Chlamydomonas reinhardtii: one gene and its partner. The protein of the gene in region 2 binds, or shares a complex with, the protein of the main gene of each other region. Links are inferred from orthologs where the notes say so. Each region holds a gene or a part of one and is shown on either strand. Other genes may lie near its edges. The genes, in order: CHLRE_17g712000v5 and CHLRE_16g688750v5.

What was found.
Region 1: CHLRE_16g688750v5 (region 2) and CHLRE_17g712000v5 share a complex: the UniProt entries of both Arabidopsis thaliana proteins name them as parts of the spliceosome. The link is inferred for Chlamydomonas reinhardtii from reciprocal best matches to the Arabidopsis thaliana genes SMU2 and RSZ21.

The regions. Positions count from the first base shown.
Region 1 is NC_057020.1:2,067,835-2,072,318, reverse strand, and holds CHLRE_17g712000v5 (uncharacterized protein), read right to left. Parts: upstream 2,864-4,484; 5' UTR 2,752-2,863; coding exon 2,733-2,751; intron 2,639-2,732; coding exon 2,543-2,638; intron 2,449-2,542; coding exon 2,443-2,448; intron 1,608-2,442; coding exon 1,537-1,607; intron 1,381-1,536; coding exon 1,043-1,380; intron 858-1,042; coding exon 713-857; 3' UTR 169-712; downstream 1-168. Other genes in the region: CHLRE_17g711950v5 (uncharacterized protein), read left to right, coding at 3,032-3,185, 3,414-3,457, 3,690-3,965. UniProt on the Arabidopsis thaliana protein: Probably involved in intron recognition and spliceosome assembly.
Region 2 is NC_057019.1:3,685,942-3,690,334, forward strand, and holds the start of CHLRE_16g688750v5 (uncharacterized protein), read right to left. Parts: upstream 2,895-4,393; 5' UTR 2,765-2,894; coding exon 2,556-2,764; intron 2,318-2,555; coding exon 2,182-2,317; intron 1,841-2,181; coding exon 1,739-1,840; intron 1,495-1,738; coding exon 1,348-1,494; intron 1,094-1,347; coding exon 908-1,093; intron 761-907; coding exon 635-760; intron 271-634; coding exon 65-270; intron 1-64. Other genes in the region: CHLRE_16g688800v5 (uncharacterized protein), read left to right, coding at 3,124-3,655, 4,036-4,085. UniProt on the Arabidopsis thaliana protein: Auxiliary spliceosomal protein involved in splicing of specific pre-mRNAs that affect multiple aspects of development.

The DNA of each region.
Region 1 (4,484 bases), on a different chromosome or scaffold from region 2:
CGGACAGACGGGCCCTCAGGTGACCTGGACGATAGCTTGGATGACCGGAACGGATGAAAGCTTGAACGCCTTGAAGGTGACTGAGTACGACCAATGCCTGCTGTGCGCGCAGGGGTCTGGCCGTCTGGGCGTGGGGTTTGAGCTACTGCACATGAGTCGCGGCACATAACAGCCAGTGCGTTACAGTTCCCTAAGCTTTGTATTTCCGCTTTGTTGCTTTGGCTCCATGCCTCCACTCCGGCAGCTTGGCATCCTCCTTGGCGTCTGCAGCTCCATGTTTCGTGTCGCCCCATAGCCCCCATGCCTGGGACGCAGCACACCTGCACACGCGCAAGCACCGCACTTACTCTCTCCTGCGCGCCCGCATGCTCTCAACGGGCGCTCAACCGCTGCCTCCGCGGGACACCAGACTCGTCACTTCATTGTATTAGGCGTCGCCATCCTATCCCTTCCACTGCAGCATGCCTGGTTGCCCTTGCGGCGCCCGGGGGCACCTCTGGCGGCGCCTGCCATGACCATCAAGCCAATCGGGCTCGACTTCATGATTTGTATCACAAAAGCGCTTGTGCACCCTCTCCTGCCCCTCGTCCTGCCCCTCGAACTACCCGGCACTGCCAGTACCCACATCACGTAAACTAACAAACACGTCACTAGTGACACACCCTGCTCTGGCCAACGGCCAAAGCGCCGTGGCCAACTCTCGCCGCCATGCTTAGTCGCGTACAGGCGAGCGGCTGCGGCTGCGGCTCCGCAGCGGCGGCGGCGAGCGCCGGGGCGGCGAGGCTGAGCGCTCACGGATGGGGCTGGGGCTACGCGGCCGGCGCTCGCCCACAGGGCTATCGCGGCGCGGGGACGACCTACGTTTACAAAAGGAACCATGAACGTTTGAAGGATTGGGCGACTAATGTGAACATTTGAAGCAATGCGTTGAAATAGCTGTCCGCCCAAGTCCGCCAGATGACCCGCAACGTTTCGACAGCACGCGAGTCAAGAGGCGGCACAGAACGTATTTGTGATCACACATCAATACAAAAGCGCTTACCGGCGTGGCGGGCTGGGGCTGCGGCGGCGGATGGGGCTGGGGCTGCGGCGGCGGATCGGGCTGGGGCTGCGGCGGCGCAGCGGGCTGGGCGACCGGCGGCGCAGCGGGCTGGGCGACCGGCGGCGCGGCGGGCTGGGCGACCGGCGTCGCGGCGGGCTGGCGCGGCGGCCGTAAGGGCTGGGGCTCCGGCGGCGCATAGGGCTCGGGCTGCGGCGTCGCGGCGGGCTGCGGCGGAAGTCGTCGAAGCGGTCCGGGGGGGGGCCGCGGAAGGCGCCGCCGCCGCCGCCGCCGCCGCCGCGCCCTGGGGGCGGACCGCGGTTGCGGGAGATCTCCACACGCTGCAGTAAGGAATAGCAAGCCAAACAACACTTAGTTCTGTGTCCATGATAAGCGATCCACTTCATTGACATCAAGCCTACCTTGCGCAACACACACCCAGGTCACCCACAACCTCGTCAAGTCACCGGCAGCACGTACGTTGCGTCGCGACTCACCCAGCCCTTCATGCCGTCCAGAGCGCGCACCGCGTCCTCCGCGTCACGGAGGTCATCCATCTCAATAAACGCTGCAGGTTGAGAGCGGAGGAAGTTACAGGGAGGGCGCAGGCGTCAGGAAACGGCATTTCAATGTTGTTGAGAGGCTCTATTTCCTGTGGTGTATCCAATGAGGCTGAATGAGGCTGCTGGCAAAGGGCAGGCGCGGAGCAAGCGAGGAGCTGCTTCCCGTGTGTGCAGTCACGAGGACTGCTAGTGTAAGCCGCGCGCTGCCTGTGCAACCCACGACCTACGCCAGGGAGGGTGGGGCGAGCACAGGCGGTGGCGGGTGGCCGCCAGTGGGCGAGCAGGTGGCAGGTGTGGGGGCGGTGTTGCAGGTGAGGCGGTGCAGGCTGGTGAGGGTTGAAGTGGCTGAGGCGTGGTCGTTGCTGACGTGTGCACAGGCCACAGGGGCCATTGCTGAAGGGCATGGGTGTAGCTGACGGTGAAGGGTGATGCGGCTGAGGCGCGGCGAGGACGGCGGGGTTGGCGACGGGTAGAGGGAAGGGGACGGGCCCGATGCGATACTAGGACGAGCCGAGAAGGCGCAGTGGGCGGCAGCAGATGAGCTGCCGCCAGTACATATATGACGCAGGCGGTGTGCGTTGATGGGGTCGTGCTTGGAGATGGGAAGAGGAGAAGGCGATGCGTGCGACGGGGTTGGGGAGCGCAGGAGGGTGGGCCGACAGTAGGTCAGGCTGGGTTGTGGTCGCATCAGCGAGGCTTGTCATCCTGCGGGGGTTAGGTCAATGCGCTCTCTGTCCAGCCTCCAGCGTAGAGCGGCGAGCCCAACTGGCCGTGCCGAGTACATTTAGACCCTCGCCTGTCTTGGCCCCTGCGCTGCTCCCGAGGTGCGTGTATGCTTACCAAATCCTGCGGTAAATTGGAGGACAATAGGGCGCGCAGAAAGTCAGCACGGTGCACAGCGCGCCGCGATCGCTAGAATTGCAGCGACTCGCTCGCTCACCTGGAGGCTTGCGCGCCACCCAGATGTTCCTTAGCCTGCCGAAGCGCACGAACTCTGTCTCCAAATCCTCCTCACGGATGCCCGAGGGCAGGTTACCTGGACAGCCGAAGACACGAGGCGTGACTGCCAAGAGCGGTGCCAGCGGCTGCCCCCTTAGCCAGAGCAGCTCAGCATACTATCGTTCACTTACCGACATACACACGCGCCATAGCCACCTGCTCCTGAACCTAAACCTAGACGCTGAAACGACTTCAGAAGATTCCTTTTAACCCTCGCCCTCGCTCGTTAGTTCGTTCGCAGATGCAGACCTTGAACAATTATGCCCTTATGAGTACAGCGTCTTATGCATGCAGCTTGCAGAGACAGGAGTTTTGCTCAGCTGGGCGGATTGCCTACATGAATCCCAAGTCTGCGCCAGCCTGTAACAAAACACACGCTTGCCCAGAAGCCCTATTGATGCTCTGTGAATTCCTTGCACCAGCGGTAACGATGCAGCGGCCTGCGGAAAGTGACGTCGGCGATGCCCCACTGACGCAGGCCGAACTAGCGGCACAACTAGGGAAATTTGAGGGATACAAGGAGAAACTAGAGGCAGACATCGATAAGCTTGAACAGCGGAGGGCGAAGCTGCAAGAGGACTCGGGTGAGTTGGACGGACTGGGGTTTGGGGCGGGCGTGTCCAGTTACACTGGGAGGGCCAAACTGTGTCAAGGGTAGGAGTGGCCGTTGGAAAGCCGTGGGATACGGCGGAAGAAGGGCCTCAAACTAGGAGTGAGGCCGTTGCCTGGCCTATGGACATATGGCCTGTGGATCAACGCGTTGGCCCGCCGCCGCAACATCCACCCGTTGCTCTTGCGGTGTCATTTCACAGACGAGTACGAAAAGCTTGTGGCCGGTGTGGCCACGTTCGTCAAGGTGAGTGGCAGCATCTGGAAGGTTGTGTTATCGCCTGGGTGCGGGCAACACCCGTTGCAACCTGGTCGGCGGCGAGCCAGCTCCATTATGCCCCGCTACCCGCATGCGTACCTCGCCTCTCTTGCACCGCACCCACTTGTAAACTCTACTTCGCATCGCCATGCAATCCCAGCACTAACGCCTCACCTCTGCTACCCCCACCCTAACCTCAACCCCTCCTAACCGCATTCAGGACGGCGCCACCTCTCTCGAGGGCCAGCGTGTGGACGTGGGCTGCGATGTCAAGTGCGCGGCGCGTGTGCCAGACGTCAGCAGGATCTACGTGTCCGTGGGCCTAGGATTTCACGTGGAGTCGGCGCTAGGGGAGGTGCGGGGCCTGGTGGCGCCGCGGCAGGAGCACCTTCGGCAGCAGCTGGCGGAGCTGGACAAGCAGCTGGGGGACGCCAGGGCCACGGCGGCAGCGTTTAAAGGCTCACTGCAGATATTGAAAGAGGGCGCGACGGTGTGAGCGTGCAGGGACCTTTAGGAGAGATAGGTTGGGGCTAGCGCACGCGTGCAGATGCGATGGTGGCGGGGAGTGGATTGTGGGCCCCGATGCGGAGCTGTGCCGGTGTGCCTGAGCGGGCACACGCTTTGACAGCACAAATAAGCGACGAGCTGGTCCTGATGTAAAGAAGCTTCTGATTGATGCCGACTTGCAAAGCACCCCTACACTGCGCCCCTGTCTGTTTCGCTCGCCCGATCCGGTGAGCGCCGTGCCATGTCACGCCATTTGCCGTGTACGTAGCACCGAGATATCGTGCGCAGCTTTGTCACACGGTGTGAGTATGCAAGCGGCATCCGCTTTGCTGTTTGTAAGCGGGACGCGTCAGTAGCCAGGGCGAGCTGTCGGCACGGGACAAGTGTTCCCCGGGAAAAGCGCACGGTTGAGGGGGCCGGGAAATTGGAACCAAGGCACGCACTCACGTGAATGCCCACAACTTCTGTACGCAAGTTTTACATAGTAATACAGGGTCACACTGATTGA
Region 2 (4,393 bases):
AATCACGAGCCCCCATGCCACCAACACGCCACGCCTTCCAGCCCAAAGCGCCCGCCGGCCGCACCTGGCGCCCGGTGGAGCCGCCGCATCCTTGGCCTTCGCCCCCTTGGTGGTGGGTTGGTAGTCGGTGCCGGCGTCTCCGAATATGTCTTCATCGTCGTCCACGGGGGCGGCCGGCTTGGCGGGCTCCGCGGCCGCGGCCGAGGCCGGGGCGCCAGGCGAGACGCCGGCGAGGTCCTTCTCGGCGGCGTCTGCCTCAGACTTGATGCCCTACAGTGGCGGTATGCGCAAGGGCGGTATGCGCAAGGCGCGATTGGCGGTGCGATTGTTAGTGTGACAGGTACGCGTACGCTGGGGTGTAATGCGGTGCGAAGACCTTCGCTATCGCCACTGCTGGACTGCGCGGCCTGTGAAATAGCGCCCCCCCCCTCACTGCGTGTCCTCCACGCCTCCATTGTATGGCGTAACACGTGCGCACAAACCCCCAGCCCCCAAACCTGTAACTGGCGACCGGTTAATCCGAACCCGACCTTATGCCACTTGCTGATGCCCCAACCGCACAGCCACCCAGTCATCCAGCCACCCACCGAGTCACCCGGAGCTACCCAACCCAACGTAAAGCCCCCACACGCACCAGCAGCGCGTCGCGGTCCTTCTTCTTGAGCTTCTTGCCGTCCGCGGTGGTGCGCACATAGCTCATGATCTTGGCGATGCGCTCCAACACCGCGTTGTCCACCGCCGCAAACAGCGTCTCAGCCACCTACACGGGCAGCAATGGGACAACATATTTTACGGCAGCGTGGGCGAGCGCATTCAAAGTGCGGTACCCACTGCATCTCAGCATGGGTCCACGGGGCACTGGAGATGCGCCTCCAGGGCCGGGAGCACAGGCAGCCGGCGCACGCACCTGCGGGCACTCGCTCTTGGGCCGGCGCAGTGTGGTGGGCACGTCGGTGTCGGGCGAGTCCTCGTTGTCGAAGTCGTACACAAAGGCCGTACGGCGGGGGCCGTACATCTCCCGCACGTTGGAGGCGCGCGGCGGCGCGAACAGGGTGCTGAAGACGGAGCGAGCCAGCGGCGTCACAAAGCGGACCTGCTCGGCATGAGCATGTGTGTACGCGCAAGGAACGGATATGCTAACGCGGGTGTGGGCAGTGGGATGGTCAGAAGCGGGAGTCGTGAAGGGCATTAGAAGCCGTCACACGTCGCAGGCGTGCGGCGCAGGCTCTACGTGGACCAAGACCTTCAGCATACAAGAATGAGCCCCCCCCTTCACAATCCAGTCCAACCCTTTCCTTTTGGGGCGCCCTCTCGAAGCACCTCGCACACGACCGGATGCGCACACACCTCCTCCTTGCGCCCCGCCGCTGCGTTGGCCTTGGCGGCCGCCCGCGCCGCCGCTTCTCGTGACGCCTCCTTCCGCGCACCGTGCCCCTCGCCGTGCTCCTCATCCTCCTCGTCGCTGTCTCCCTTCTTGGTGATCTCCGACCGCGTCTGCGCATATGCAGCGTGCATGCGTTGAAAGACTTGTCTAGCGGTTCATTACCATTGTCTGCAGCCCCAGCCTTGCCCGCTCCCCCCAGTGTCCCAGGTGCTCCCCGATCCTGGCACTCCGTGACACACCCCTCCTCCTTACTGTCCTTCCCCAGGAGGCTAGCACCCCGCTGCCAGTGCCTCACTGACCGCACGGCCCCACGGCAGCACGGCCCCCCACGCCAGCACGGCCCCACGCCCCCACCTTGTGCAGCAGGGCGTAGTCCAGACCCTTCACCAGATGGGTGAAGCGCATGTCGCCTCCCAGGTACTTGGTCTCCTCCTCCGACAGCTTGCTCAGATCCACCTGCCCACCCCGGCAGCCCGGGCAGGACACAGTGTGAGGTTGCGACATGACAACATGCAAGACGGGACGGCCCAATGAAGGACCATCTACGGCCAAAGGAACGGTAATCTTTATTGGATGCGGACGGCATGTGCCGCAGTCGAGCACCCTCATCCTCAAGCAACAGGGAAAGACGCCCAAGCCACAAAGCCCGCACTGCCACGGCTGGCGCTGCAAGTAACCTCCCGCTTCTCCTAAATCATCCGCCTCAGCAGTATCGTCGCATACTGGCACAGGCAACCGCCCCCCTTGTGCTCTCCTAGCACACGGCCCCCCGGCCATAGTCCTGCCCAGGGCCGCACCTGGCCAATGTCGGGGCCCAGGGGCCCGCCGCCACCCGCCCCGCCGCCGCCGCCGCTGCCCCCCAGAGCAGACAGCACCGCGGACGCGTCCTCGTAGTCGCTGTTCTTGCCGCGGCGGCGCTCCTCCGCGCGGTCCCTGTTGGTTGTCAAGGTTTCAAGGAGGATGGGCGTGGTGGATGACGCGTGGAGGGTGCGTGACACGAGTCCAGTGGAGTATGTGCGCTGTGCATCGTTAGGCTCATGTCAGCATGCACATCGGTGTCGCGGGGTCGCCAATAGCGGCGCCCATGCCGGCCGCTCGTGTGGGAGCTGGGAGGTGCCCACGGCCTGCGTGTCCACTGCGCTCCTCACCCAAGCCGTGCGACCCGTCATACCTGTACTTGGGCCCGTCCTCGTCCTCATCCTCCTTCTTCTTGTCAGTCGGCTTCTTGAAGCCCGGCTTGGGCTTGGGCCGGTACTCGCCCGTGGGTTTGGCTTTGGCCTGCGCCTGCGCCTGCCCAGACTTGCCTGCTGCGGGTGTCTCCCCGCCAAAGCGTTCCGCCCTGGGCGTTGCCAGCAGTCTTCGGAAGTCATCATTGTTCATTTTTGCTACTTTGGACTATAGTAACATGAGACAATTGTTTTTTGGGAGGAGCCAGAGCCCCGCGCAGCAGGAAGATTTGTTGGTATCGCGCAGCGGCCTTAAGCTCTTTCTTGTGCACAAAATGTGTAGTATGAGGAAAGAATGCAGTTACGGTATGTTTGTTCCTTTACTCTTGTTGCACCGTGGTCCATGCTGTCCATGCGAGCTCGCCCGAAATACTCGTTCTGGAATGAATTCCAAGCAATCACTGTTAGATCTCAGTATATCTATAGTTGCCTACACTGGGTTTGCGGAATTGACACTGCGTTGCTTGGGCGGCTCTGTGTGCACCTCGCGAACTAGTCTGCACTTCGTCGAGCATGTCTACCTACGCCGGGTCTAGTCTATCGGCCAAGGAAACATGGAAATCTAAAAAGGCCAAGACCAACTTGGTCGACGCGACCCTCAACATCGTGCAAGCCTGGGCCCTGCCGGTGCTGGTCGGTGGCTACCTGGTCCGCCGTTTCCTACAGAACCGCAAGAAGGCGCCCAAGGCGCCCGATGCGGCAGGCGCCGCGAAGGCCGAGCAGGCTGACGCTGATAAGGCTGGCGCGGAGCGCAAACCGCGCCGGGACTACAAGGTGAAGCGCGACCAGGAGGGCCCGCTGCTGGCCGGCGCCGACGACGAGGAGGTGGAGGTGCAGCCACACGACGAGGTGATGGAGGGGTACAGCGAGAGCGAGGTGGATACGGCGGGCGCGGCCGCGGCGGGGCCAGGCGGCAACAACACAGCCATGCTGAAGATGCTGCAGCAGATGGGCTACCGCGTGGTCATGCCCAAGGACGGCAGCGGGCAGGTGTACCTGGTGCCGCCCGGCGCCGCGGGACCGGACGGGGAGACGATTGAGGAGGGTGAGTGAGGCGTGCTGCTGGGGTTCGGCGTGTGGCGTGCCGTGTGGGGACGGATTTAGGGATGGATGGGGGCCTGGGGCAAGAGTGGGCTGGGTGGCTGTGGGCGTGGTGGCGGCGGGGTGGCTGCGGGGTGCGGGGCACGCGAGGGGACGGAGCCGCGCGGAGCTGCGTGAAGCCAGGGGAGAAAGAGGGTCGTCCTTGGGTTGAGGCGTTGCCGCCTCGTGGCGCGCATCGCGCATCCACCACCTTCCCAGTTGACTGGCACCCAGCAGTTGACTTGTGGTCGATCGCTTCGCAGTATCAATGCGTAGGACGCACCTTCCTGCCACAGCGCTTTACCTGTTAGTCACTTCCGTGTGCTCATGCTGCATACCCTGCAGGTGACGAGGACGAGGAGGAGGAGATGGAGGAGGTGGAGGGCGATGAGTAAGCAGCTGGCACGGGGCGCCCTGCTCACGCGCGTGCTCCATGAACGGACAGAGGAGTGCCTCGTTCGCAGACCAGCTTTGTGATGGGTCTGGGTGCGGGAAGACGTGGTTGCTGGAACGTTGGTGGGGTGTGCGCCTCTGTGCGCATAGCATTAGCAGAGGCTTATCCGCCTGTGAGCAATGAGTAAAGAGACCTGACAAAGGACATTGTTGTGTGCGTGTCGTTCTTACGTATGACTGTTGAGTATGTGTGTATGTGCCTTGACTTGGACGCCGTGCATGACTTGTCTCGGGAAGTTTGCGTTGGCTG